4 linked regions of the Rhinolophus ferrumequinum genome follow. The protein of the gene in region 1 purifies or fractionates together with the protein of each later gene. This does not show direct contact. Links are inferred from orthologs where the notes say so. Each region holds a gene or a part of one and is shown on either strand. Other genes may lie near its edges.

Evidence for each region.
Region 2: the proteins of NFKB2 (region 1) and MAP3K14 purify together in Homo sapiens (affinity purification with mass spectrometry; 6 studies listed by BioGRID and IntAct, with this or other methods). This does not show direct contact. The link is inferred for Rhinolophus ferrumequinum from reciprocal best matches to the Homo sapiens genes NFKB2 and MAP3K14.
Region 3: the proteins of NFKB2 (region 1) and NFKBIA purify together in Homo sapiens (affinity purification with mass spectrometry; 6 studies listed by BioGRID and IntAct, counting the BioPlex papers as one, with this or other methods). This does not show direct contact. The link is inferred for Rhinolophus ferrumequinum from reciprocal best matches to the Homo sapiens genes NFKB2 and NFKBIA.
Region 4: the proteins of NFKB2 (region 1) and FBXW7 purify together in Homo sapiens (affinity purification with mass spectrometry; 7 studies listed by BioGRID and IntAct, with this or other methods). This does not show direct contact. The link is inferred for Rhinolophus ferrumequinum from reciprocal best matches to the Homo sapiens genes NFKB2 and FBXW7.

Annotation. Positions count from the first base shown.
Region 1 is NC_046299.1:22,620,385-22,627,561, reverse strand, and holds the start of NFKB2 (nuclear factor NF-kappa-B p100 subunit), read left to right. Parts: upstream 1-4,176; 5' UTR 4,177-4,297; intron 4,298-5,610; 5' UTR 5,611-5,678; coding exon 5,679-5,699; intron 5,700-5,980; coding exon 5,981-6,062; intron 6,063-6,178; coding exon 6,179-6,219; intron 6,220-6,479; coding exon 6,480-6,578; intron 6,579-6,657; coding exon 6,658-6,809; intron 6,810-7,071; coding exon 7,072-7,177. UniProt on the Homo sapiens protein: NF-kappa-B is a pleiotropic transcription factor present in almost all cell types and is the endpoint of a series of signal transduction events that are initiated by a vast array of stimuli related to many biological processes such as inflammation, immunity, differentiation, cell growth, tumorigenesis and apoptosis.
Region 2 is NC_046304.1:40,065,698-40,073,506, reverse strand, and holds the start of MAP3K14 (mitogen-activated protein kinase kinase kinase 14), read left to right. Parts: upstream 1-4,796; 5' UTR 4,797-4,914; intron 4,915-7,809.
Region 3 is NC_046289.1:83,503,409-83,510,509, reverse strand, and holds NFKBIA (NF-kappa-B inhibitor alpha), read left to right. Parts: upstream 1-4,084; 5' UTR 4,085-4,208; coding exon 4,209-4,435; intron 4,436-5,016; coding exon 5,017-5,125; intron 5,126-5,454; coding exon 5,455-5,665; intron 5,666-5,949; coding exon 5,950-6,038; intron 6,039-6,166; coding exon 6,167-6,427; intron 6,428-6,752; coding exon 6,753-6,800; 3' UTR 6,801-6,892; downstream 6,893-7,101. UniProt on the Homo sapiens protein: Inhibits the activity of dimeric NF-kappa-B/REL complexes by trapping REL (RELA/p65 and NFKB1/p50) dimers in the cytoplasm by masking their nuclear localization signals.
Region 4 is NC_046301.1:23,865,089-23,872,698, reverse strand, and holds the start of FBXW7 (F-box/WD repeat-containing protein 7), read left to right. Parts: upstream 1-4,590; 5' UTR 4,591-4,759; coding exon 4,760-4,912; intron 4,913-7,610. UniProt on the Homo sapiens protein: Substrate recognition component of a SCF (SKP1-CUL1-F-box protein) E3 ubiquitin-protein ligase complex which mediates the ubiquitination and subsequent proteasomal degradation of target proteins.

The sequences.
Region 1 (7,177 bases):
TGGGAAGAATTAATTACTAGGTAAGTTTTGGGGGAGTTGAAAGTTGTACGTGGATTTTTGACTGGGGGGGCATCAGTGCCTCTAAACCCCTGCATTGTTCAGAGGTCAACTGTACAGAATTAGCTACAATGGACAGCATTGCTAGGAACAACAGAAAAATGTGGCTATTCCAGCTCTCAGTATATACCTTTGCTTAGGGCTCACCACTTAGGAGACAAATGGCCTTGAGGAAGCAGAACCCCCCCTCAGTTCCTGGGCTTCAGTTGAGAAGGAACTTTAGTTCAGGTAAACAGTTTATCACCCCCTCCTTGAAATACTCTTCACTGGTTTCTGAGATACTGGCCATGCCTTTTCAATTTCTTTTGTTTTCTCTTCCTCATCTCCACAGCCTCTGAACATGAGCACGCCTCAGGGCCCAGCTCTTGTCCTCAAGTCCTTTCTCTCTACTCAATTGCTGGGTAACATCCACAGTCAAGACTTTAAATACCATCCATTGCACTGACTTTATGTCCAACCACCCACATCATCTCCACTTGCATGCCTCATAGGCTCTCAAACATAACAAACTTCAAAGGAAAAATTCTTGATTACCCCCGCTAGGAATCTGCTCTTCTCCCAGTCTGCCCCATGTCACTAAAGGACAACTCAACCCCCTCTTTTCTCACATCCTACATCCAATTCCTCAGCAAGTAGTGTTGCTTTTATCTTTCAAATTTATGCAGAATGTGAATACTACGTCCCACCATCCTCACCTACTACCACCCAAGTCTAAGCCACTACTGGTCTACCGATCTCCCTCTTATATTCTAGTCCCATGATCTGTGTGCTGTCCACACAGCAGCCAAAATGGGCCTTTTTAAAACGTCATATCATTTTCACTCCATTGCTCAAGTGGCTTTCCATCTCATTCAGAATAAAATGCAAAGTTCTTACTTTATCCCACTTACCTAACCTTGCTTTTCTTCAAATATGCCAAACACATTCGTATCAGATCTTTACACTGCTAGTCCCTTCACCGGGAATGCTCTTCCCCCAGATATTCACACAACTCATTCCCTCAACTTTTTTCACGTCACTGTTCAAATGTTATCAGAAAAGCCTGCCCTGTCTGCTACGTATGAAACCCTTGTCACTCTTGACCCCCTCCCCTTGCCCACTTTTTCTCCATCATACTGATCACCCTCCCCTTGCCCACTTTTTCTCCATCATACTGATCACCAACTGACATACATTCATTTGACTTTTATCTGCAAACAAAGACACTGATTTCTAGAGTAGGCCCTCACTATTCATTGGTGAATGAAGACAGTGAATTTATGGTGTGTCTGCTTTGGGCCAGGTGCAGTGCTAGCCTTAGGTACAGAAACAGATAATCATTCGGTTGGAAATTAGTGAACAAACAATGGGTTTTCTAAGCCCAGATAGATGAGGCTATAGAAACTGACTATAAACTTTGAGTCAGTCAAAATTTCCAGGTCAACATCAAGAATTGTTGGAGTTGATTGATGGGTACATGGGGGTTTATTATACTCTTCTCTCCATTCTTTATATGTCTGAAATTTTCTATAATAAAGGCTTTTTTAAAATCTTCAGATAAATGAATTATAGTTCAGAATCTTATAACTAAAATAGCTAAACCTTAGGGGTGCTTTTAGAAACGTGGAAACTAGAAAAATTCATGCCAATTTGAGCTGGTGGTTTATGAGCATTTTAAAGGGACAGTCGTGATCAACGGTGATCAGCACAGGTTCACTAAGTTAGAATATTCCAAACTAAGCTCCCATTTTATTTATTTTTTCAATTACATTCTACATTCAACATTATATTAGTTTCATACGTACAGCATAGTGGTTAGACATTTATATAATTTACAAAGTGATCCCCCTGATTAGTCTAGTACCCATCTGACACCATACACAGTTATTACAATATTATTGACTCTATTCCCTATGCTGTACTTTACATCCCCATGACTATTATGTAACTACCAATTTGTACTTCTTAATCCCTTCACCTTTTTTACCTAGTCCCCCCACCCCTCTCCCATCTGGCAACCATCAGTTCTCTGTATCTATGAGTCTGTCTCTGTTTTGTTTTATTATTTATTCTGTTCTTTAGATTCCACATATAAGTGAGATCATATGGTATTTGTCTTTCTCTGTCTATTTCACTAAGCATAATACCCTCTAGATCCATCCATGTTATCACAAATGGTAATATTTCATTTTTTATGGCGAGTAATATTCCATTATACATATATATACCACATCTTTACCCAATCCTCTATCGAGGGGAATTAGGTTGCTTCCATATTTTAGCTATTATAAATAGCACTGCAGTGAACATAGGTGTGCATGTATCTTTTCAAATTAGTGTTTTGGATTTCATCAGATAAATACCCAGAAGTAGAATTGCTGGGTCATGAAGTAATTCTATTTTTAATTTTTTAAGGAACCTCCTCTCTGTTTCCCACAATGGCTGCACCAATTTGCAATCCCACTAACAGTGTACGAGGGTTCCCTTTTCTCCACATCCTCACCAACATTTGTTGGTGGATTTATTGATGATGGCCATTCTGACAGGTGTGAGGTGATAGCTCATTGTGGTTTTAAATTGCATTTCTCTGATGATTAGTGACTTTGAGCATCTTTTCATGTCTGTTGGCCATTTGTACTCGTATGTTCTCTGGAGAAACGTCTATGCAGGTCCTCTGCCCATTTTAAAATTTAACCTTCCATTTTAATTTAAGGGTTAAGGAACTGATTTACCAGGGGAATGTCGTAGACAGTATCCCTGGATTTTAGCAAATTGTTTGATGGTATCTTATGATAATCACTTGAAAGGCCCACAGTTGGGTGGAAAGGCCTGCTTTATTTTATATGAATTTCTGGGGAAAGCTTCATCCCAGAGCTAACAGACTGGGTTTGAATTCTCACTCTGTCCCTTTCTAGCTAGAGGTGTTACTTCACCTCTCTGAGACTTAATTACTTCATCAGTAAAGAAAGGTAATATTTACCTTCTAGGGTTGTTGGGAGGAAGAACAAGAACTTACACTGAAGTACCTTAACATAGTACCTGGCACATTCCATTTGTGGGCAAGATGAAGAGGAAGGGGAAGTAATAGGAAATAGCCCAAATCAAGGGCCATAATAGTCTCCCTTTATGCATAGCTAGTGCAGGCCTGTAAGTCCATTATTTAGAAGGTCAGGAGGCAGTTGCAGGAAAGATCCGAAACAACAAACAGTCTGTGTTCCACTGTGAGCCCAATGTAGGACTCCAGGAATGGAGATTACTCATGGCACCTTCTAAAGAGAAATTCTACCAACCAGAGATGTCCGGCCTGGGAGTCAGTACTTTGTGAAAGTGACCTTGCTGCCACTAGAAGTGTGAGGCATACTTTGGGAACTATATAAAAGGCAATTTCCTACATCAGAGGAAGTTTGAACTATTAAGATTGTGGATGTCTTTTTAACTCTTAACATTCCAAATCTCCGTGATGGATGAGCACAGCCTGAGTCTCTCAGATAAACACCTTATTTCCCTCCCAGCACGGAGCTCCTGAGCTTAGGTCTTAAAATCTGGCCCTCAGTAAACCTGCCGTTGATAGAATAAGTTTAGGTCCAGATGGTCTTTTCCAGGGGACAAAGAGTTAGAGACTGAGTAAAAGGATTACGCGGTCTCCTTGCGGCTCCAAAGGGGGGCCGCCAGATGGCACCCTGGGACCGACTGAAAGATCAGTTTCCTTCCTCTTCCCCTAACTTCCCGGCAACGGGGCCCCGCTCCGGGCGGGGGACAGGAGGACTTGGGCCGGTCGGTCAGCTTCCCCCTGGGGTTCCCCAATTCCAGAGGTGGCCAAGCGTTAGGCGCAGCGTAAGCCGAGTAGCAGCGGGGCTGCCAGCCGTCTGAGGCAGGCCTGAGTGGGTGAGGAGACTGGAGTCGGGGCGTCGACAGGGGGATGGTGCTCGCTCAGCGGATCCCGCCTGGGACTGGTCCCCCCACCAGAGCCCACGCCTGGCTGACCGTCATACCCACTCCCGATTCCCCGCGCTGCGCGAATATTTGCCCCCTAAGGGGAGCGCCTGAGTCGCTCCGGATTGGTTGTGCGCGTCGGGAGTTAAACTTTCAGCCAATGAAAAAGGGCATGGGGCGTGACGCACGGCAACGTCACGGGAATTCCCCCCTCCCGGGGGCGGTAAAGGGGCTTTCCCCACTAGAGCGCTGGTGGCTGGAGAGGTGTCGCGACCCGTCCCAGGTGGGTCGGGCCGGGAGCTAAGCCGGAACCGGAGCCGCCGCCGCGGTGAGTGGCCGGGTTCAGACCCCTGGGTGGCCAGGACTCTGGGAAGGGCGGGAGGAGTGTGTCCTAAACTGAGGGAGACTCAGAGCTGGAGAAAGCATATGCACACACACAGAGAGCACGCACACGAACAAGACACCCGGATACACATCGACATCCTTGTACAAAACACGCGGACTTGTACGTAAGCCGGCGAGTGTACAGTCCATCACTCAAACTCGCACACAAATGCACACGCAAACACGCTCACCCGTGCACAGGTGAGCCTGGACCCATACCCTTCACGCACAAACTCAAATATATGCTCACCTGCGCCTCTACATATCAAGATATGCTCAGACATGTGTACACACTGAGACTTTTAAGGACACTCACCTGTACACAGACATGCTCAGCTGCACACGCATGTTGACGCCATGCACACACAACACGCACGCAAGCACATGAGCTGACTCACACTTGTATACCTGTGATGGAGACACACAAGTATTACAAACGGCTTTGGGACTGGGGCAGGGGCGTGGGCACCCAAAACTCATGTGGCGTGGGAGTCAACGGCTATCGAGGTGTTTCGAGGAGAGGGAACAGAGGAACCCATCCCAAGGAGGAGACACCTTTCCTCCCCTAGCTCCGCGGCCCAAGAGACTGGTTCTCGGGGCAGAACCCCTGGGCCCCTCGCTGGGAAGAGCCCCCGCCTACAGGCCTTCGGGGAGGCGGCCTTCCTACAGCAGGAATGTCCCCCCAAAAGCCCCCGGGGTGAATCAGCCGTGGCCTCCCTCAGGGTAGAAAATCCCAAGGTTACTCCAGGATGGGGGAGGTGAAAGGGGCGGGAGGTAGGACTGGCCCGGGGCTTGGAGCCTCTCCCAGCCGTGAAAGACCTTCCGGTCCCCGACCCCTGCTCTGCAGTGAGGAGAGGGGCCCAACCCTCACGGGGGCTTCGCTAGGTCTGGTTGCCCCTCTGCCCACAGACAAGCTGCGAGTGTCCACAGGCCAGCGCCGCCAACCTGGCGCCCCTCCCGCCGCGGGGGCGTGGCCAGTGGCGTCATTTCCAGGCCCGCCCCCTCCGGCCCCGCCTCCCCCCTGGTATTTTCGGGACTTTCCTAAGCTGTTCTAACTTTCCTGCCCCTTCCCCGGCCCGGCCCAGCCCAGCTCCCGATCTCGCGCTCCACCGGATCTCGTCCGCCACACCCGGACGGGTGGCTGGAGGAGATCCGACCCTCCTCCAAATCTGGGCCCCCCTCTCCTCTCTACTCCGGTCCTGATCTGTCTTTCCCGCCCCCCTGCCACTTCCCCCCACCCCCCAACCCCGACCCAAGGCGGGCGACTGAAACTGGGAAAGAGAACCCGGCCGGAGTCGCCACACAGTCGGGCCTAGCCCAGAGACATGGAGAGTTGCTACGACCCAGTGAGTCACTCCGCCTGGCCCCAAACCCGGCTGGCTGACCCCCTGTGTTTGTCTGGTTGTCTGCGGGTCTGTCGGAGTCCCCTCTGCTCCCCTACACCTGTAGTACCTTCACTTTATCTCAGCCTGCCTGTTGGTCTGTCTGCAAAACTGCTTCCAATGGGACCTCTCTTATGGACCTGGGGAGGAGAGGGGGTGATTACTGAGGGCTTAGAGAGCTGGGAGGTGGAGGACTCTGGGGGTGGCTCCGAATCAGCTGCCATCCCATTCTGTCTCCAAACCAGGATCTGGATGGCATCATTGAATACGATGATTTCAAATTCAACCCATCCATTGTGGAGCCCAAGGAGCCAGCCCTAGACACAGGTTGATAAGTCCTCTGACCTCCCCTGGTCTTAGAGGGAGGGGGAGGGAGGAGTATGTGCCCTCTGCCTTGGGGATGGGTCAGAGAGCCGGGATCAGCAAGGCCCCTCTGTCCCCAGCTGATGGACCATACCTGGTGATTGTGGAACAGCCTAAGCAGGTGAGTGAGGTGGAAGGGATGGTGTGGGATGGCTTCAGCTTTGAGGGCAGATGGGGTAGTTGTAGCTGGGTGGCCCTGGGGAGGGTCACTGACCACAGAAGCCACGTTGCGTTGGGATGGTTGTCCGCTGCTGAATCAGTAGTGTGGTTGTGGTTCAGGACAGGCACTACCAGTCATTATGGTCACTGCTGGCAGGGGGTATGGCTGGCTGGGGGGGGGGGCCTCCTGGTCACAATGTCACTCTGCCCTGGAATCTTCAGCGAGGCTTCCGATTTCGATATGGCTGTGAAGGCCCCTCCCATGGAGGACTGCCAGGTGCCTCTAGTGAGAAGGGCCGGAAAACGTATCCCACTGTCAAGGTGAGCAAGGGTGGTGCTTGAGGGTGGGCTAGTGGACAGTGTGTCCAGGGGCATTACTGACAGCCCTCACCCCTCCTAGATCTGTAACTACGAGGGACCAGCCAAGATCGAGGTGGACCTGGTAACGCACAGTGACCCACCTCGTGCTCACGCCCACAGCCTGGTGGGCAAGCAGTGCTCGGAACTGGGGGTCTGCGCCGTGTCTGTGGGGCCCAAGGACATGACTGCCCAGTAGGTGTCCCCCACCCCGGCCCCCCCAGTGGTATGCCCCCTCATTGCCTGCCAGTCCTAGGCCCCAGCCCACCTCTCTGAACTTAGCGTCTGACCAAGGGGAAAGACTTAGGTTGGCCCTAGAACCCAAGGCTCCAAGTAAAAACCAGAAAAGCTTCCTAGAGGAAGTAGGGCTGTGCTGAGCCTGGGCAGTGGGGTGGGGGGGGTGCCTCAGGAAGAAAGAACTGTCTGCAAGATCCCTGACTCCCCCTCCCTCACCCAGATTTAACAACCTGGGTGTCCTGCATGTGACCAAGAAGAACATGATGGAGATCATGATACAAAAACTTCAGAGGCAGCGACTCCGCTCCAGGCCTCAGGGCCTTACC
Region 2 (7,809 bases), on another chromosome or scaffold:
TGCCCCCATCTCCCTCCACCCCCGCCAATGAGAAGCTCTGGCAGGAGACCAGACAGTGGAAGCAAATAAGAATCTTCACCCTCTCAGTCTTGACTGGTGTCCATGGATCTGATTGTGTCTCCTCCGTGGTTTCCAATTCTTCCGGTGACCATGGCCCCCAGCCACTGATTACACTGCTCCTCCGTCAGGTCCCGCCAACCCAGGCATTGGAGTGGATTCCTGGTTACCTCGCCATCTCCTGCTGGGCTCCTCAGCCCTTCCATCGTCTCTGTGCACCAATCCTTGCACTCAACTCCATGTCTAAAAACTCAGAGCGAGCTCTGATTCCGGGGTTATGCCCTGCCTGATACAGTACATCCTATCCATCCTCTCATCATCCTCACCACCTGGAATGACTCACTCTTCATCGGCAGCCACCTCTATCCACTCACTGTATGGGAAGCTCCCGAAGGGCAGGGACTGGTCCGGAAGTTCCGCACTCCCTCCCAGGACCTGACACAGTAGGGTCACATTTGTGGTTGGAGCGTCACCTCTTTGGTTGGCTGCAGATGAGAGCTGCGATAAGTTCATCTGACTAGGTGGCAATCAGTGAGCGTCCATGGAGAGAAGAGGTGGTGGGCAGAAACCCGACTGCAAGGGGTACATGCAAGGGGGAGATGAAGCAAATACCAGGAGTCCCAAGAAGTGTGGGAGTTGACAGAGTAAAAAACGGTTGGGCCAACAGTGTAAGGGAAAGCCAGGACAGGGGAAGAATCTTTTTCTTTGTCTGTTTTCAGGTTGCAGAGACTTGATCACATTTGGAGTTGAGAGGAAGAAGCTAAAGGGCGGGGGGAGTTGAAGTGCAGCAGAGGTGGGGAGCTTGGGGGTGGAACACATGACGTAAGTGGTTTCTTAGGAGGATTAAATCCGCCAGAAGGGTTAAGGATGGTGTGGACAGAGGACTGGAGGCAGGGAGGTGAGTTAAAAGGGGATAACCAATCAGGAAGTGAGAAGAATTTGAGTCAAGCTTTAACCCAGGGCTCCCTAAGAAGGCTTCAAAGTTGGGACGGGTCTCAGAAAGGTCATGTCCAGAACCTCCTCTTGGTAAGGTCAATTTTGCCCAGTGCCCCCAGAGTCCCCCACCTTGTCATCGCCATCCTTTGCAGATTTTGGCACCTCTTCTCATTATCCATGACACATGGCTCCTCCTCTTCTCTAATAGCTCTGTGGTTCACCGTGCCCCCTTCCATCTCCCCATGGTGGGCAGAATTGGTGCGGGGTCGTCAGGGTCCAGAATCTGCATGCAGTGGTGTGCTGATAAATGTTTAACAACCAGCTGGGGCGTGAGTAGCCCTGATTTATACTGTTTGCCAATTTCTATGATGTCAATACCCCCATCATATCTAATTTCAAGCCACGAACATGAAATCGTCACTGACCACAGGGAAGGGAGAGAACTCCAGCCCACCACTGCCTGAATCCATTCCCTCTCCTGCCTTCCTCGCCCCTCCATAAAACTCTAGACTGTGTGACAGCAATGGGCCAAAGAGGGTAGTGACAGTACCACAGCTGCAGCCTTGGAGAGGCCCCTGATGGGGAAAATAAAACTACCTCTCTTTCGGGAACATCTACTCCCAGCCCCCAGTCATCTTTGATCTCAGTCTCACCTCTGCGTTCTTCTCAAGTGTAACTTCAGGATCTCACAGGTATTTGGGGCCTGAGATCGACAGACACTCAGATGATTCACTAGCCACTTTCTCACTAAACCTCACTAGACACCATGAACTGTCTGGCTAAGCCAATAAAAACCAGAATATAATTTTCTTCTTTCCAAAGCAAACAGAAAAGGAAAAATGATCCAAGGATAGCATTCTTTTACTGATGTACAAAATTCACTCACTCTTCATCATTCTTCTACATAACTGATGAGCAATTGGCTCCTTGAAGCCCAAAGTCTCTTTGAAGAGTCTTATATGCAGGAGAGCAGGGGCCCTAGGGTCACATCTGGTTTGAATCCCAGGTCTCCTATGATAGCAAAGTGACCTTTGGCAAGTTATTTCTCTCTGAGCCTGTTTGCTCATCTGTGAAATGGGGATGATAATAGTACATACTCTATGGGGTTAGCCTGCAAGAGTTCTCAACTAGGGGCAATTTTTCTCCCTTGGGGATAGTTGGCAATGTCTGGAGACATATTTTGTTGTCACAACTGGGTTTGGGGGCTGATGTTCCTGGCATCTAGCAAACATAGGTCAGGAATGCTGTTAAATATCCTACAATGTATAGGACAGCCTCCAAAATGTCACTAGTGCCAGGAAACCCTGGGCTAGAGTGACTATTGAGTGAGGTTATGCACACAAAACACTTAGAAATATCTGGCTTATTTTTTGTAAGCTCTCAAAAAACAGAAGCTGCAATTCTTTTTGGAAGAGCACAGTCTTACCCTTCTATTTCCAGACTTGAACCGTTGAGGTGGGATGTGGAATCCTTGAGTGTTGAGAACCTGGCTCACGGCTCCAGATGTGAGTCACCCTGTGAATGTCGATTTATTTTTATTTAAAGCAGAGCTAAGGCTGCACAAGTGACTCAGGGCTAGAAGCATTCCCAGGTTGTCGGGACTTAACTAGCTGGGCTGGGAAGAAGTAATTTTGCCCTGAAGCTCTCCTTCCAGAAGGTGCAAGCATTCCACGACTCACAGACTCCACACTTGGTGCTTACTTGGAATGGGTGTTGCACTGTTTCTCACCTCACTCCACACATGGTAGGGCTTGGAAAGGCCTGAGAGAAGTAGCTGAAACCACAAGACCCTGCTTATCCCATATATTTTCCTCACTAATGTGTAGTGGTTTCTTCCTCCCTGGCAGCCTGATGCGAAATTCCTTCTTGGGAGTTGCAGCTTTGGGTCAACACGTTCACTCTCTCCCACTAACACACATTAGTGTTAATGGATAGATTTAAGGGCAGACAATCTTGACAGGGTAGGTGGGGGCAGGCAGGGACTCAGAGAAGTGTTAAAGGAAGCTGGGTAAAGTATATGGGCACTGGGTGTCCTAAAGAAGGTGAGAGAGAGAGAGGGCAAAGACAAGCCAGGGAGCATCTGCAGACTCTGGGCGTGTGCCCACGTCTTTCCTGAGAAGTGGTGTGCCCAGAGGCAAACAGGTGGTGGGAGAGGCAAGCCCTGCATCCAGGCTTGCTGATACCAACCTGTAACCCATCATCCGGCCAAACTCCGCCTCTCCCTGAGTCACTGAAATGAAAACCTCTGGGGTTGGAAGGAGCTTTAGGGGCTACTAGCTTCTTTCTTGCCCACCATCTTGCAAGCCGGTCAGTGGCAGAGCCAATTTATGTACCAGAGACTGTCCAGCTCCAAAGCATGGACTCTATCAGGGTCACAACCTCGAATGCTTCAGGGGCCAGGTGATATTTAAGGTTAAATGGTAGAGTGTAAGACAATAGGGGCAGGGGCTGTGAGGAACTGCAGGCTCTGTCCGAAGGCATTCAAATTCAAACTTAAAAACCACTGGACCAGCCAAATAAAATACATCTTTGGCCTGAGTAAGTGGATGAGGCCCTTAGGTTGTGAGTTTTTGACCATTGCCTAAATAAATGAATGGTCTTCCCTATCCCCCAACAAGGGAGATCTCTGTTGGTTACAGATCTCTAGAAATAGGCTTTGAACTACCAAGAACTGTCTGAAAAGTGGTCCTGAGCAGGCTTTGCTCCAACACTTCCAGCGATGAGGTGATCCTTACTTCCCAAGACAGCCTTGGATGGGGCCTACCTATCCCCACTACTAGAACCAGTTACCACATCTGCCTGCTGTGGACCGTTGATGGGGATTGGGGTGCCCAGGTAGGGGCATATCTTTCATTTTGCAAACTTACACAGTTTGGGATTTTTTTTTTTCTTTATTACAAATAAAATGCAAGCTCGCGGCAGAAACACTGGGAGATACAGATAAGCAAAAATTAGAAAAAGTATCCAAACCTCCCCTAACCACCTTTCCCCATTCAGGAAGAAGCACTATTGACACTTTGGTGCATATTTAGACTTCAGATCCTTTTTTGCATAAGGAAAGCCCTACTTTCTGGATCTGACCTGTAAACCCACTGCTTCTCCATCTGTGGAGATCTCATCAGACTCGGGTTTCGACACACAGGTCTGACCTGTGTAGGCCCTTGGCTGCCCAAGCTTCTCGAAGGCAGGCACTAAAACCTGTCTTACTCGTCCTCAGGGACTCTACAGCGCTGGGCACACAGTAAGTGCTCAATAAAAGTATTGCCAATCGTCCCTGGCCCCACTTGCCTCAGCCGCCAAGGCCTCGAATGAAGAGGAAACAGAACCTGGCCTGGGGGACCTGGCCTCGCTGTCTCCAAGGTAACCTAAGTCCGAGGCTGGAAGTGCTCACGCATGCGCACACTCACTCTTCCTTCCCGTAACCTCCAGAAGAACGCAACCCGTAAAAAAAAAAAAAAAAGAAAAGAAAAAAAAACTGCCAGAAGCCGAGCGCGCATGTGTGGTTAGACCAAACCCCAGCCGCCTCCGCCTTCTGTCAATCCGTCTGCCCAGCAGCGTCTTCACTATAAACATTGCCCGGAAATAGTGCCCATTTCTGGAAACGAGGCCTCGCTAACCAATCGTTGCTAGGGGCGGGACACGCCGGCTCATTGGTTAGATTGGGGGAGTGGGCGGGGCCAAGGGTCGAGGTGCGGCCAAAGCTAGGAGGCGCGAAGCGAGGCAAATTTGCAGCCGCCGGGGGAGGCGTGGCCCCAGGGCAGCCGGGAAGAGGATCAGGGGGCGGGGTCCGAGGCCGGGGCGTGGCGACCATGGGGCGGGGCGACCGTGGGCCCCAGAGCTCAGCGGTCGGCGACCAGCGGCGGGAGATCGTGGGCAAGGGGAGCGCGACAGTCGCTGGTTGAGGAGATCGGCGTTTGGCCGGTAGGTGACTGAGCGGGATCCCGGGGCTCGGAGCAGGGAGCACCGGGGACGGGTCGCCTCTCAGACCCGGGACGGTCTGCGGCCTGGCCCGCAGCCCCGGAATAGTGGTGGTCGGCGGCGCGGCTGGTCGGACCCACTCGCGCGCGGGCCCTCGGCCCTGGCGGCCGGCCGCCGGCGATCCCTCACTCACACTGCCAGGGCCACGGTCGCACGCCGTGCTCGCCCCGCACCCCCACAGGTGACACGCTTGCCCGAAGCGCGCGCGGGGGCGCCCTGCTTCCCTTTCCCCAACACTCCGACTCCCCTGCGCTCAGCTGCCCCCACCGCCAGGCCTGCCCCTCCTGTTGCGTTCCCTGGGTTTCCTTGGGATGGGGGCTCGCCTGGGAACCGGGCAGAAGGTGTCTAATGCATCAGTGCGCCCTTTCCATGCGTCCTCCCACCTGCCCTGGCAGTGAAACTCTCAGGCCTTTCCTGGGAAGTTCTTGGGTCACACACCCCGAGGCGGGGAGAAGGAGCAGAGCCTGCCCGTGGTGTTCAGAGGAGCAGTGCTGGCAACTCGCACCAGCCTCCTGCTTCCCCTGACTCCTCTGTAATTTTTTTTTAAACTTATTTTAAGTGTGTTTTTCCAGGACCCATCAGCTCCAAGTCAAGTAGTTGTTTCAATCTAGTTGTAGAGGGCGCAGCTCACAGTGGCCCATGTGGGGATCAAACCCGCAACCTTGTGAAGAGCATCACGCTCTAACCAACTGAGCTAAGGGACAACCCTCCTCTGTAATTCTTATGTCTGCTCCACTCTGGGCTTTATCTGTTGGCTCGGATGTAATATTCTCATCTTGGAAGCCCACAATGGCCCCTGGCAACCTGCAGCCACCGGGCACCAGGCAGAAAGAAGCCACTTGTACAGTGCAGAGTCCCACCTGCCCAGGAACCTCCTTGGTGCTGGGTAACTTCAGTAGAAGTGTTTCCTTCCTTATTAAGTGTTGCTCTGAGTCCTAAAGAATGAACTGGGAAATGAGTATGAGAGAAAGGGGAGAATGAATGGAGAAAAGGTACAGAACTCAGTGGTGTAAATGGCAAAATCACTTTTGCTAACTGGAGACAGTGAACACCAGTGACTTGATGAAGAACTCTAAAAGCAAGTGAAATGAAATGATGAGAGGTGGGGCTTGATACAAAATAGCAGTCTGAAGTTTATTCCAGGAAAAATGTTGAAAACCCCTTGACTAGAAACATGGTCGTTCTGAAACATTAGAGCGAGATAGTATCTTAACATTAGTGATGTGTTTTTTACTAAGTATCTTAGTATGTTCATACCTGTAACCTCCTTTTTCCTTTAGACGTCTGTGTGATAAGATAGCATTGTCCTGTTTTATAGATTAGGCGTCTGAGGCTGGGAGGGAGGAGGAGGTATAGATCTTGCCCAAGGCCTCATAGGTAGGACTCAGGGTGAACTTGAGCCTGGGCCACTGGAAGCTTCTTTAGGCTTCTTCCCTTGGACCAGGACCACATTCTAGGACTTTGATACAGGAAGGAAGGAATAGTGTTTGGTGCAGTATTTATGCTCTTAACGTGAGAGGACAGATGCTTGTCTTACTTACAATGTATTTGGATTCACTTTTGGTGTTTTTTTTATTTTAAGTGATGTCAAAGTCAGTTCCTTTGGTGCAGCGATGCCAGACCTCTGAGTTTCTCAGAGACACCTTTAGGACATCCTCATTTATTTTGAAGGGTGTGGTGAACTTCTCAGAAAGTCTCAAAATAAAAGTAATAGTCTCTGATTTTCATTTGAGAAATCTGTACCCAGGTATATGTCCCAGTACTTTTGTGAAATCAGACAGCAAGAAGTTGCCAAGCTTTAAGTCATCTTCGGACTGTTTTCAGATTATGAGGAGCAGTTCTGAAGGGTTTTTTTGCCCCTGGTATTGTCTGTTAGAGTTTGTGGGAGCAGCACCACAGACAAGGGACCTTGCCAAGTGAGCCTTCATCTATTAAACAAAAATGTCTGGTTGGCCGTTTCGCCTCAACAGATGGAGGTTTGCTTCCTCATTTTGGTTCTCCTGTTGAACACTGACTTCTTTGTGATCTGCTTGGAGTGTTTGTATATCATTTAATGTTGAGAAGCAGGCTTGCCCTGATTGGTTGTCCAACTCCAGGGAACTGTTGTGATTTTTTTGGTGCATGATAACAGTTCATCCTGGCCAAGGTCTGGTGAGAGATCTATAGAGATGTGAATGAGGTAAAGCTTCCCCCAGGGTTGTTTTCTTCGTTGTTGGCACCCTCTTAAGAGTGTCTTATCACTGTGGCCTGTGAAGTCACTCTGAATTTCCTATTTTTTTTCCTGTCTCAATGGACAGCACAGGAGCTTTCCTAGCAGATCTGCCTGACATGATGAAGAGCTGACAGATTCATGTTGGTTGACCTGACAGATGTTCTTTCCGGGAGGATAGTTAGGAAATCTTAAAATCAAATTCAGTCCTAAATTAAAAGTAGAGGTCAGCTTGATATACTTATAGGCAGCATATTTGTGCCAATGACTTCCATCATCTCAAAGCTGGTTTTTTTTTTTTCCTGGCAAAAGGTTAAAATGCAACTAAAATTCTGCTTTCATGATTAATAAGTCACTACCGCAGTTGTGTCTGATGCTTCCTGTTTGCCCCATTTTAGTATTTCAGTTAAACTGGAAACATCTGAGCGTTATGGGCACTTTTGACGGCACCGATGTGAAATTGGCGGGAAGGGGACCAATTCCATGTCAGTGGATTTGGGGAACTCTAAGGATCAGTCAGCCCCTCTGGCTCTGCACATCGAGAGCCCTAGGAAGGGAAAGGAATGGGGGTGCGCATCGTCAAGGGGGACGCGGGGGAGCATTCAAAGTGATGCACGTGTGAAGGCTTT
Region 3 (7,101 bases), on another chromosome or scaffold:
GAACTTGGTTGAACTTGTTATACTAATTTTACAGTGTAGTGTTGAACAGTTCTTTGAGGGAGGGATCAAGTTTTCTTCAGGGCTTAGAGCCTCTGATTCCAACCCTGCCTGCCAGGGCAGACCACACTTCCTAGATGGACACACTCCACCCCAGCCTCCATTTACACGGAGGAGCAGAGACCCCCTGACACCACGGGAGCTGAAGGTGAGTGCCTTCTCCCAAAGCACCATGAAAACATCATACCCTGGCTGAGAAACAGGTTGTAAGATCAGGGCCTGTGGGCTCCATGTTGCCAAAAGTTGCAGAAATGCATTTTATTTGGTTTTCACAATATTTTAAAACTTGAAAATGGTCACATCAAAATCCATGTTTTGATTTTTTTTTTTCTTAACATCAGTACTGAATGCAAAGTGCTGTTTGGCAAACATTGCCTGAGCTGTGGACATGCTGTCAGGCCAACTGCTGAAGATGCCACCATTCCCTCTTGGACTCACACGGCCACCTTCACTCCTCTGTGAAACCTATCTGGCCCCTATAAGGTAAGTATTTGAGTTCGATACCCTTTAACACTTTGATCCCCATCAAAACGCAGAATTTGTAGCAAAAGATACACATAAACGCATTGACCGTCTTATTTGCAGGTCACTATGAATAAAGGTCCTGACAGCTGTTTTTCTGTGGGGAAATTCAGAGCTTGGGAGCTCAGATTCTGAGGAGGATGGATGCAGGTGGTTGCTAACCACTAGAGGTGGAAAGAAGACTGAGCCTGGGATTGGAAGCAGAATATAAATTCAGAATTTCGCAGCAGCGCGGTCCATCAGCAGTGTGTCGGACTCACTTGGCCTTCAGGACTCTGTCGCGCTCCTCTCTCTCCCAGCCTGGCTGCACTGAGTGATGGGTAGCCTTTTGCAGTTCTATATGCTGGGGCTAAAACAATTTCAATTGGCTAGGGCAACTGGCACAGGACACGCTGCCCAGGATATTAGGAAAAGCCAAATATGTTGGTCCACTTGGCTGAACTTAGAGAAGCATCTCCACATTGCCAGGCCATTGGGCACTTCAGGCCGTAGGTTCAGTCCACATTGTGCATTTCCCACCCAGGAAGAATAAATGAAGTCACACACTGGTGCTCCTTTTCCCAGAGGGGTGCGCCTGCCCACAGTGAAGCCCCTGAGCACCCCTGGCCATCCTCTCCTTCTCTATGGCTGCATTCTGCACTAAACTATAAAGCAGCTTCGGGGTTAACAGATTCATTCGTTTGCCTTCTTCTGCATTCAAAATAAAAAAGCCAAATGACATTTAAAAATTAGTTACCTAAGGTTTAACATCTTCAAAATGGTCAAGATGAGCTAAAATGTGTGACAATGAGGTGGGGAGAACCCTAAGTGCCCAGGAGTCCATAAAGGTCTTTCTAAACCAGAAATCAAAGTTTTGCTGTCTTTTTCTGGCCCTTCTGCTCATGTTTTCTGATTTCCAAGTGTGTTCTTTATTGCCCAAGTTGTAATATTTGTTGATTTCAATGTAGAGAGCTATAGATGATAGAGAGAAAACCTGTTGGATCACATTATTCAAAACTGTCTCCCAGGTTGCAGAAAAACAAAAGGTACCTCCTTGGGAATCCCCACCATAGGGACAGGTCACCAAGGCTTGGCACCTCGCCAAATTCCCAAAACCTCTGAGACAAATCAGAGAACACCTGCGCCTGACTCTTACCACCAGGAATCACACTAAACAATTGGGAATAAAGACGACTAGGTCCTTAAGGCCATCAAGAACATAAAGTCATTAAAAGAGGTACAAAGAAACTTACTCCCTAGATACTTTTACTTATGCATGATTTTTTCTTTCTTTTTATGATTTTCTTTTTTAATAATCATTTGAAACCTGCAGCTAAAAATTCTCTCCTATGGTACCCTTTTATTAGTGGGGCATCTCAAGTTCGACTTTTCTGTACTTTTTTTCTTACAGACATGAATACCCCCGATAGGGAAACATCTACCCTCTATTTTATCCAACAATTGGAGCAGAAAATACTTTGAGTATCTTCCAAATTATAACATATTCGGTCTCATTTTCAAAATGTGTCTTCAAAAGTGTTAATACCTACCACAACAGCTTTGGCCAAATGATTAATATGTTGGGACAGAAATTAGATTAACTGCCATGGGGTACCTAGGTAAATTTCTCTGCATTTCAGTTTATTTTTAGGAAAGTAGGAATATTACCTATCTTACAAGATTAGTTCTGAGAACAATGTGTTGCATAAGGTGCTGGAGTCCTTCCAAAAATATATACTGTGAATTTCCAAGAGACACGATCACTCTTAAGCAGGGGTTTATACATGCATGTGTGGCCAACTAATACAATTTTTAAGCTGGGGGAAAAAAAAACCCAAAAAGCATTAAATCCAAGCAGGTATACTACAGCAAAGTTAATTGATACCTCCAATTAAGATGCACTTAATTAGAGATAGAGCCTGGAATTGAGATCTTCTACTTATAGTCACTGTTCCACCTTGCCTGAAAACTTGTGTAGTTGTGTATCACATGCCTACAGAGACAGCAGAGTGTATCCCTGGGAAGTTTTCATTTTAGCATGTGATCATTACTACCATGAAGGTTTTATTTCTTGATTTTACTCCCCCCCCCCATATTTTGTCTGTCACCCTCACTGACCCAGATTCCCTACATTCAGATATGGGGGTGAGGGCTGAGGAGAGGGAGATTCAGAGAGGATCAAGCTTGGTAAGTACATGGCCCGGCAAGTTAAAGATGATTGCAACAACCCTCAGAAATCTGCAAAACTATGAGAGACCTCTTGGAACTAATTGTGAAGAATTGGGACCAAAGTTGCTTTGTTTTGCCGGGACCAATGCTAAGGGTCAATCAATTAACTTCACTGGATTGTTGGCTAGGAGGTGAGGGTGCAGAGGAGAGTATACATTCTATTTCTGTAGTTGAAAACAGAGGATAGTGAGCCTGGAGTGCCTACCCACATTGCATGCATGGTAAGTCCAACCGCTGCCCTCCCCCAGGACAGGAGAGCAAGGAACCAGGAGGGGCAGGATGGGGACTAGTTGGCACCCCTTGAGCTTCCTGCAGTATGCCTAGCAGCTACTTTCTTAGCCATCACTTAAGGCCCAATGTTAGGTAGTAAGTCACCACTCAACCCATTCTTCAGCGTCCTTCTCCAAATGCCTCTGGAAAGTTGCCCAGCGTGGCACCCCGAAGTAGGCTCAGGATCCATTCTCTGCAGCACCACAGTGCAATTCAGGGAGCACAACCACCTCAATAATTATTTCGTTATTGTCAAGCATCTACAACCTCTACTACCTTGCCCTACTTTTAAAAAAAAGTTCCTGTTCAGCATTTTCTCACATACAGGGGAGAGAGGGCAGAGTGCTTACCCCTCCCCAGTCACCAGGATTTTTAGTCCCGAGGAAACTAGTTGAGGGCTCTCCAAGCATTTAGGTTTTTAACGCCAAAACTTGCACACCTTCTACCTGAGGGGGCTGGGGGAGTGCTACGTGTCCCTGCACTGCAAACAGCCTGGGGTCAGCAGGCACGCAGAGGCATCCCTTCTCCCCGCCAGTGCGTTCTTCCCTGCAGACAGAAGTTTGAGGAAACGAATCCCTACACCCAGCCATCATTTCCACTCGCGTTTCCAATAGATCAAAAAAACGGAAAAGACCGGCAGGTTGGCAAACCCCAACGAGGAACCGCCCAGCAAGTCTGCATCTTTGGGATCTCTGCAGCCGAGGACCCCAAATCCAATCGATCGTGGGAAACCCCAGGGAAAGAAGGTTTCTTGCAGAGGGACAAGATTACTGAGTGCAGGCTGCAGGGAAGTACCGGGAGGGGGCCTTGTCGGGAGGACTTTCCAGCCACTCAGCGTTCATCAAAAAGTTCCCTGTGCATGACCCCAGTGGCTCATCGCTGGGAGTTTCTCTGATGAACCCTGCTTAGGGTTTAGATTGCTTTCCCTCCGCCGTAGAACGAGGCCAGTTCTCTTTTCTGGTCTGACTGGCTTGGAAATTCCCCGCGCCTGACCCCGCCCCGGAGAAATCCCCTGCCAGCGTTTATAGGGCGCCGCGGCGGCGCTGCCGAGCCCACAACAGTCCTAACCCGCCTGCGACACTGCGAAGAAGGGAGCGCGCAGCCCGCAGCCGAGCGCACCTGGGGAGCAGCGCCTGAGCAGTCACTGCGCCATGTTTCACCCCGCCGAGCACGCCCAGGACTGGGCCATGGAGGGCCCCCGGGACGCGCTCAAGAAGGAGCGGCTGCTGGACGACCGCCACGACAGCGGCCTGGACTCCATGAAGGACGAGGACTATGAGCAGATGGTGAAGGAGCTGCGGGAGATCCGCCTGGAGCCGCAGGAGGCGCCGCGCAGCGCGGAGCCCTGGAAGCAGCAGCTCACGGAGGACGGAGACTCGTAAGTGTCGCAGGCCTGGGTGACGGGGCCGGGTGGGGGCGCCGGGCCTGCAGCGCGAGCCTCGGGGCCCGCGCGATGCGGCGGTGGATCGGGGTTTATGCACCGACCCCGAGGCCGGGTAAAGCTGCATGAGGGCAGAGGATCAGGGTTCGTTCCCGGGGCCGCGGTTCCGCAGCTCGGCCTTGCAGCCGTTCACACTCCCCTGCCCGGTCCCGGTCCTCTCGGCCGGGGGCGGGGCGGCGGGGACGCGAAGTCCCCGCTTGCAGAAGGGGGGAGGGGGGAGTTTCTGCCCGACGGGCGGGCGCCGTGCCGCAGCGAGGGGAAGTACAGGGCGTTCCGGCCCGGCGGGAGGGCGGGGCGGTCTGGTCGGCGCCCGCCCGGGAGCGGGGGGGGGGGGGGGGGCCCGGAAAGTCCCTGGGCGCCTGCCAGGAACACTCAGCTCATAATAACCTCGCGGAAAACACCGCGGCCTCGGCCTTCAGAAACCCCGGCCTTGCGCAATCCCCCGCAGCCCGCGCCTCCCTGGGCCCCACGCATTGTACTCACCAGCCCTGGGGGTTTTTCCCTTCTTTTCCTCTCAGGTTCCTGCACTTAGCCATTATCCACGAGGAGAAGGCACTGACTCTGGAAGTGGTCCGCCAAGTGAAGGGAGACCTGGCCTTTCTTAACTTCCAGAACAACCTGCAGCAGGTGCGCCTCTTGCCCAGCCCCGGGCCTCTCTGACCCCGTGGTCTAGCACAGTTGCTCCCAATGCTTTATAAATTCATAGTCGTGGTCATTATCCGCTCTGACTTTTTACATCCGAATCAGCCAGCATTCTAGAAAGTAAAGAACATCCCATTAATTTGCTGTGGCCTTTATGAAGCCCACCTGGGGCCTTTGGTATTTGCTTTGTCCCTTGCACCTGTCTGGGAGCAGCAACCCCCCGCAAACTAGGGATCTAGGGGGGTTCAAGGGAACTCAGACTGTGGGTTTGGTCCGTGGCTTAATCCTCTTTCTGTTCCCTCTTCTGTTTGTAGACTCCACTCCACTTGGCTGTGATTACTAACCAGCCAGAAATTGCTGAGGCACTTCTGGAAGCTGGCTGTGATCCTGAGCTCCGAGACTTTCGAGGAAATACCCCCCTACACCTTGCCTGTGAGCAGGGCTGCCTGGCCAGTGTGGGAGTCCTGACTCAGAGCTGTGGGACCCAGCACCTCCACTCTATCCTGCAGGCCACCAACTACAATGGTACGTCTGCCTGCCCTGCCCATCAGAGGGCAGGTGACACGGGAAGGGAGAGGTGGGCCAACTTAGAGAGTCCAGGCAAGAGCTTAAACTATCAGCGTGTGATGGGTTGAGCAAACGTGTGTGTAAAAGGCCTATTTGATGCCTTTATAAAGTTCATTCAGATCTCAGATCCTGGGTTGTTCATATTCAGAAGAATTTGTCCCTTAAAAGAATAGGTGAAAGGTTTTGTTTCAGATGTGAGGATTGAAACAAGTGGTTATACTTTTTTCCTTTTGTTCTTCTAGGCCACACGTGTCTGCACTTAGCTTCTATCCATGGCTACCTGGGCATCGTGGAGCTTTTGGTGTCCTTGGGTGCTGATGTCAATGCTCAGGTGAGTGCCTCATGCCTCCAGGTGGAGGGCAGCACGCTCAGCGCCCTCCTCACAGACTTCACGTGCCCTCATTACAAGCCAAAATTCCAAATTCAGCCTAAAGCATCTCAAATTCCTTTCGGTTTCAGGAGCCGTGTAATGGCCGAACTGCCCTTCATCTCGCGGTGGACTTACAGAACCCCGACCTGGTGTCGCTCTTGTTGAAGTGTGGGGCTGATGTCAATAGAGTCACCTACCAGGGCTACTCCCCATATCAACTCACCTGGGGTCGCCCAAGCACCCGGATACAACAGCAGCTGGGCCAGCTGACCCTAGAAAACCTTCAGATGCTGCCAGAGAGTGAAGATGAAGAGAGTTACGACACCGAGTCAGAGTTCACAGAGGACGAGGTGAGTCTCAAGTTCATTCTACAAAAAGGAGTGAGATGGTCATTCTCCACCCTCCCAGGCCCCTAGAGCTACTCTTTACCCAAAGGTCTCAACATAATGAAGTTCTCAAACTTTAGTATATCCCAAGTGTGTGTCTTTTTGCCTTTTTTAAAGAAGAGCATTAAAGGAAAACTACCTCAGTCCATGAAGTTAATTTCTATTTGGGTTATAGAGAATGGAGTCCACAAATACTTGGGTTATTTCTAGTATTATGCCCTCACCATTATCCCAGCACCCCTAGCAAAAGTTTTGGAAGTTTAACATGCTTTTTTCCTCTTGTTTTTAGCTGCCATATGATGACTGTGTGTTTGGAGGCCAGCGCCTGAAATTATGAGCTTTGGAAAGTATCTGAAAGAACATGGACTTGTATATTTGTACAAAAAGAGAGTTTTATTTTTCTAAGAAAAAAAGAAAAGAAAAAAAAAATCAAAAGGGTGTACTTACAACCACACTGCCTGGCCTGAGACGTTTTACTGGGGTGGATCAGCCCTCTTTTTTGTGAACTTTGGAAGGGGGACAAGAAAGAGCATTGGAATTCAAAGAAAACCTCTTTGTAAACCTCACCATTGCGGGGTTTTTAGAGAAGGTGATCCAAAATTTGATGAAAGGACTACATTTTATTTATTGTGCTTTTT
Region 4 (7,610 bases), on another chromosome or scaffold:
ACAAATACAGCAATATTGGTAATATCTTGAATAGTTGTTGAATATGGGTGACAAGTAGATATGTAGGAATTCATTATACTCTTCTCTCTACTTTCCTATATAATTAAAATTTTTCGTTTAAAAAATTGAATTTTTTATTCATTTACCACAAGTTTTGCTGTTGTTGTTCCTCTCTCAATATTTAAAAAAATATTCTTAAAGCTTTAAAAATATTACTTATATTCTTAATAAGAAAATGAGGCATTTCCTGGCCATTTTGTCCTTCCTTCTGATTTTTTTTTTCCTCCTTAGCAGTTATCACCGTCTACTATAGTAAATATTTATTTTGTTTGTTGTGTGTCTTCTTCTCCCCCTGGAATAAACAAGTTCAGTGAAGGCAGGGGGATTTTTATCTGTTTTGTGTGTTGGTCCATCTTCATTACCTATATAACACATGGTAGGTGTGAGTAAATAGTTGAATAAGTGAATAAACGAATGAATGGGAACCAGAGCTCTTGAAAAACTGAGGACATGGGATTTGGCCAAGGACAGAACCAAGGAGAACCCCCTTGAAAATTAACCCTTTGGGACTTACCGAAGAAAATGTCGGCTAGTACTTACAAATTTAGGGGGTTAGATGCCATCTCTCCCTCATGGGACTGTAAAGCCTTAAAATATCAAACTTTCAACATAGTCTCAGCAGTAGGAATCGCTATAAAATAATTCAATTATACTGTAATTTCTCTGATTGTCTTTCATATAGTCTTAAAAGTTTTTCTTCCCTAATCATCTCTTTACTACTGAAAGGCAATCCCTTTTGGAGATGTCTTTTATTTAAAGTTTATGTATTCTCATGAAAAAAATTTTTTTTAAAACAATTGATTTTGTATAGGCAAGATGAATTTTAGAAACTGTTCTTACGGTTTCTTTTTATATTAAAAATATATAATCTTGCATTTTTCCTTTTCCCAACAACTGATTTTTTTTTTTTCAAGCTATATGTGTTTGCCAGCTAAATTTTAATGTCTTACTGCATGGACATCATAATTAGCAGTTATCTATTATACATCTTTTAAAAAAATAGATGTTAGTTTTCAACAGTACTGTGAGACACAGCTGGTAATAATTATACTCAATAATTAAGATGACTGAAAGTTGAATATTAAAATGACATCAGTGAAAATTCAGAAGCATTTTATATTTGATATTCTAAAGTGAATGCTTTTAGAATCATTGCTTTTAAAATTACTGAAGTTGTTTTTATAACCCCAAACTGTAAGCCTTGAATTAAGGAAAAATGTGAACAGAAATATCTAGTGAGTCTCAGTTTATTTGGCTTGGGACCCCTTTACATTCTTAAAAAACTATTGAAGACCTCAAAGAGCTTTGATTTATTTGGGTTATATCTCTCAATAGTTACCCTATTAGAAAGTAAAACTAAATTTTAAAAGTGTTCATTTATTAAATTCAATTAAAAGTAATAGCTAATTACATGTTAACACAATTAACATATTTTTTTTGGAAATAGCCATATTTTCCTGAAGTGAAATAATTAATGAGAAAGATGACATTGTTTTACATCTCTGCAAGTATCTTTGAAGTCTGGCTTAATGGAAGAAAGTTGAATTCTCATATTGGCTTATGCATTCAAGTCTCTATATATGATATGTCGTCTGAGGAAAACTTACTAGTGTGTACTCGAGACATGGATAGTGAAAAACACAATTAACATCTTAATATTATGAAAATAATTTTGATCTCGTAGACTCCATGTAATGGTCTCAGGGATCCCAAAGATTCATATTTTGAGAACTGCTAGAATTATTTCTCACGGGGATACTATATATGGCAGTAAAGAGTTTTAAATGAAAGAATAGTTTTAAAAAATACTCTCATATAGTAGTGTCCATTGGGTAAGTTTCTATTTGATACATTTTACTTTAGGGTAACTATTGAAGTTAGCTTGTGCTTACTTTATAAATTTGGGCATTGAGGGAGGATGGTCTGGTTTGTAAATTATACATCTTTTAGAGTGCCTTGTAGAATGGTTACCTTATTTCTCAGAGAAGTAGAAATTAATTAAATAGAAATAGATTGTTAAATTTTTGAAACAAGTTTTTGATATTTAGAGTTACTTAAAATTAAGGCGAAAAGCACAACTTTAAAATGCAGTTTATTTAAAAAATAATGTTGCTTCATTGTTATTGGTGAGCAAATATTAGTATTGTCTCTTTTTAAAAGTATCTATAGCTAGACTATTAAAGTTAAATATTAACCGTTTTTCCTAAACAATATTATGTTTCTTTTTCTGATAGTTTTTAAGGCTTTATTTTTATTGGTTTGCTGCCTTCTTCTATCTGTATGAATCAATAGTACATTAAATTAGTTGACACGGAAGGAAAAATAATATGTAATGAAAATAGCCCTTATTGCTTCCATTCTATTTTAATTATAACTAATATAAGATCCAGAGGGTATTGGTAGGAGGATGAGAGGGGTGAAGCATTACATGTCTAGTTATTTCACAAGTAATCTATACTTTGGGTCTTTTATTTCATAGTTTTGTTTAAAAACAACATTGATGCTGAGTAGCTAGCAATTCATAGCAAAATGCATTTGGTGGGGATTTTTATTGATGCTTGTCTGTAATATTAGGCGCAATGATTTATTTATAGGCTTTTGTTAATTATAAAGGTAATAAAAATCTCAAATTATTTGGGCATGTTATACATTTGTCGATAATAGAAATCATAGGAGGTTTTAATGCTCAGTACATTGTTCTACGTTAGGATGTTGTAGTAATGTTTTCATTACCTCTCTTGGCTTCCCAGTCTCGCACATTAGCTAGGAGGAGTGTGCATCAGCTGTAATAAGACCTTTCCCCAGTGTGTCTGACATGCATCTGAAAATATGACAGATTCTAGATTTTAGAAGTTCTGTTGTTAAATCGTATAAGCAACTTAAACTGATAGTACTTCGCATTTTCCACATAATGTGCTCTTTCGATGAATAGCTGTGAAGCAGCACGCAGGAAAAGCGGTTCTTGGCAATACCAGCTCAGTTGCATCTGCAGATGAGGATTTAAAATTCTATGCAGCAGACAGTACCTCCAGCAGGCGAGTAAAAGGTTACTGCATTATTTTGCTTGTTTGTTTCCACAGCCTTTATCTACAACAGGTTTTTTTAAAAAATTCAATGTGAAGTGCATGCCTGTTTTTAGATATTCTGGAAATTGATTTAAGTATAACATGATATCAAAAGGGCAGTGCAAGGTGAAGGAAGAGGCAATACTGGCTCTTTTTAGCTTTAAACCAAGGAAGAAATTGAGCGTGAGGCATGTACAAATAAAGAACCTTTCAATGCCACAGAACACAGGAAGTTTTTAAAATATACATTTTAATTCAAGGTGTTTCTTATTACATTTAGTTTTTAGACTATCTTCCTCAAAAAAGGGTCCTGTTAAAAAAGATTGATAATCGTAGGTCTGTGAATATTCACTAAGTTACAATTATTTGAAGTATGATTATTTGGGAAGACTATAACATATTTGTATTAATGTGACCCTCTCTTGTCCTGGAAATTATAATGTGGATTATAGTTACATGGTGTAAATAAATGCCTTTACACAGTATTGACAAAAAAGGATGCTTCAGTATAAAATATACTACAGTATGGCTAACATACTTAATACTTTTGCTTATATTTTTAGGGTGGTTTATATTTTTTGAATCTTTTTGATGAGATGCAAATAACCCAAGTTGGAGAAGATTCAGTGTCAAAACAACCAGATTTTTAATGGCTTTTCACTTATTATCAATACCTACCTATAGCCACAAGCCCTTTTTTTTCCTCATTAAAACTCTTCTAACATTTATGATGTCAGGGGACTCCTTGGCTTATCATTATCTATACCACTATTTTTACTGTAGAACTTTATTGCTCCATATTTCTCCAGCCTAAGTACAATATTCAGAGAGAATTTTTGCTATGCATATCAACGACCATCCTGCCCCCTCCCAGCAATACTCATAGATTTTTAATAGCTACTGTATAAATTTTGTTTTTTAAAAATTCTTATGCCTATGTTTCTGTGTTTTAGATTGACTTAATAAGATTGAAAATGATCCTGTAAATTAATCTATAATATACAAGTAAAATCAGTTGATTATTCTTACTGTGAGTGCTTGGCAGGCTTCTTGAATCGTGGAGTCATAAAAGGTCAGCAGTTCTGATTGGTAAGTTAAAGAATCCGTCCAGTAATTTGCTCCCTGTTGTTTCTCAGAGCAATGCAGCAGCAGTTCTTTTCCAGATATTGAGCGGTTCTTGAACAGTGTGTATGGGGACAGGGAGGGGTGGGGCTCATTCCTGTTGGTTGTTGAAATAGTGAGCATTTACAGAGGGAACAGGTTGGATAGGCTGAGCTAAAGGAGTAGGCAAACAGATCTAAACTGATGGAGGACAGAAAAAGTGGTTAGTATAATTTTGGGGTATATTATCTTGAGTTTGCTCCTTTGTTAAGGACTTGGGTTTTAATATAACACAGTTTGAAATATTAAAGCACCTTACCTTCTTTCTAAAGAGTAGCCGGGAGACTTCTGTTTTTAGTATCGAGTTCTTCTTGGCGATGAGTTTGTGGCTGGTACCTTCTGTAGGGAAGCTGTTTTATTCTTTTTTAACAGTGTTTCTTTCAGCCAGAGAGCTGCAGAATGAGGCATTTAGCCAATTTTGAGTATATATGGGACCTCACCAGTTCTGATTTTTAAAGTTAAATCCTCATCTAATGAGCAAGTCAATGTGTGGCTGTGGCTGCAGCATTATTTCTTCTTTAATGAAGAGGTTGAACCGTTCGACCTGCTGCTCCGATCTGTTCTCTTGTAGCCATACATCAGACCAGTTGCAGAGATTATCCATCGATTGTCCCAGGCAACCAAAGGTAACTACATAGATTTATTTCAAATAAAAATATACAATTAAAATGGATGCATTATAACTAGTACCAAATGATTAAAAATAAAAGACCAATTAAAGATATTCTTAGCAGTTTTCTTGACCTTGCAGTAGCTATCCAATATCATTTTGTCATCATCAGATTGTGTAGCAATGGAAATGCACTGCAGTAATTGATTTTGTAATAGGATCAGGTGATTTACTAGCTGCACTGACAACCACTTGCTTGCTTGCTCTGAGCTGTGGAGCGCTCTAATGGATGTTGTGATTGTAGCCTGGACTGGATGTGAGACTGCTAGCTACTTAAAGCAGCAGCACTTATTTTAAAAATTAGAAAGTAAGCTTTCCTTTTTCGTTTTCTTTGCTTTAGGTTTTGGGAGGCCTCAATAATTTTAGTTAATTTGAGTACCCCCGTGAACTTTTAGAGATTATATGTTATTTCATTCATCAATTCATAAAAAGTTCATTGGTACTAGTAGCCTTGAAAATAATGAAATACAATCTCTCTGCTCCCTACTCCTCGCTCAGCAGCAACAGATGTATCAACATATCTTGAAAATATAAGAATTTTTTTTAGCTACCGTATATTATCTAAATGAAACAAAATATTCTTAACATTTGCAAACTTCATCAGTTTCAAACTCTTGCTGTAAATATAATAATGGAATTATGGTAAATTCTTACACTAGTCGGTTGTGTTAGAATTGTTTTGTATCTTTTTGGCCTTTTGCATTCTTAATGGTTTCATGGATATAACAAGATTTAGGAAATCTGAGTTGGACCAATTCTAAGGAATATTGATGAAAACATATAGTAGCTATTTTATGAGACTGACGCGCTGCCTACTGCGCTAAGGAGGCAGGTTATAGTAGCTATTTTAAAGTAATGTTTAAGAATATAGCAAAGTAAAAACTTAATCTCCAAGAGTATGAATTTTCAGTGGTTATGTTTTTAATGATCTTCGTTTTCATATTTATTCTATGCCTTTTAAACAAATAATTGATTACAAATTTAGAAGCTTAGGACTAAAGCTTAAAGTAGAATAGAATATTCTACTGTTGCAGAAAGAAAAGACTTTGTCTACATTGAATTTTTGCTGAGTGGCTTGCATTAGGAAATAAAATTATCTCCCTTCTCTCCCTTCCTCACCAACTCCTCTACCTTTCTAGTTATCTAGTATGTAAAGTGTTTTTCACAGAATCTGACACAAAAACACTGAGTTCTCTGTCCTTCCCTAATTTATGTTCTTTAACCATGTTTATGTTCTTGCCATGATAGAGACACTATTTCTTCCAACCACATCTAAAAACACTTATATAAATTAAATATGTTTATAATTTGCTATAAAAGAAATTGGGCATAAGATTACCATTATATGGTATTGAAACTACCATGTGAAAAAAGCTTTTCTTTGCAATGTATTTAAATACTTGCCCTTAGTGTTTGAGGCCTAGTGTTTCTTAAAAGATGCAAATATTACCAGTGTCATTGTGTACTTTATCCTGAATTGAGATGCTTAAAACATTAATTATGGAAGACTGTAATATGATTTAAACACTAGTGTTTGTAATCTTTTATTATTCAATAGGTAATCACTTTATGCCCCACCTCCCCCCCGCAAAAAAAAAATACAAAACTCTGAACACTGATAATACTAACATAAGTATGTTAATGTCATTTGAGATTTGGTCAAGGATGTGTCTAAATTACAAATATTATTGAAATGTTAACTGGTAGGTTATCTACAAATTAGTCACTGATAAAAGTTTCAGTAGAATGATGTACATTAAAACTTTTTTGCAACGGGTTGAGCAAATAGAAGGAAAATAAGTGAATACCAGAGTGTTGACTATTTCTTTCTTAAAGATTGTTTAGAAGAGATGGAAGATACTATGATTGTTCTGTATTTATACAGTATTTCATTTAAAATAAATAAGCAGTATACTTTGTGAAGTTCTAGCCCCAGGGAACTGCCTGTTCTTACCTTGAAAGCCTACCTGTACTTGATTCAGCCAGGCTCTGCCACTAATCTACTTGATCAGTTTTATTTATGAACATGTTTAAGGTTCCTTAAACATACTCCTAAAATGTTCATTAAAAAGAAATCAATTTGCTCATACTAGTGTGAGGTGTGGTAATAGTTGACCTGGAAGCTGTAGAAGTTGGAGTTAGGAGGAAAGATCAAATTTTTTAAAGAATCGGTCTGTAGGTGATAATGAAATGCCTCCTTTCACTTTTCTTGTCTTTTGGGGGGGCGGCATGCTTTTGCCAAGAGCGCTGTTTTATCTTTTTGATATCCAGTATTCTCTAAATAGAATGCGTATTCTGAATAATTATCCTAGTTCTTAACAGAACAAATTTGGGATTAAATTCTGGAACTGCCAATTTTCCCCATGCTCTCTAACAAAGATAATGCTATTAAACAGCTTATTTTAGTACCTAGCATATTTTTTAGTAATCATTTTTTAAAAAGGTAGCCTTTATGTTATTAATTCTAGTGCTTACTCCTTATATGGCTTACCATATTGGCTGTGTGCACTCCTCTTTGTAGCCTAGGCAAAGTGATTTTTGGGTTGATTGAATAGGTACTTTCGAGATGATCATGTCATAATAATTATAACACGTATTTATGGAACCCTTAATTTGGACCAGAGGCTATACTAAGCACTTCCATATTAATTATG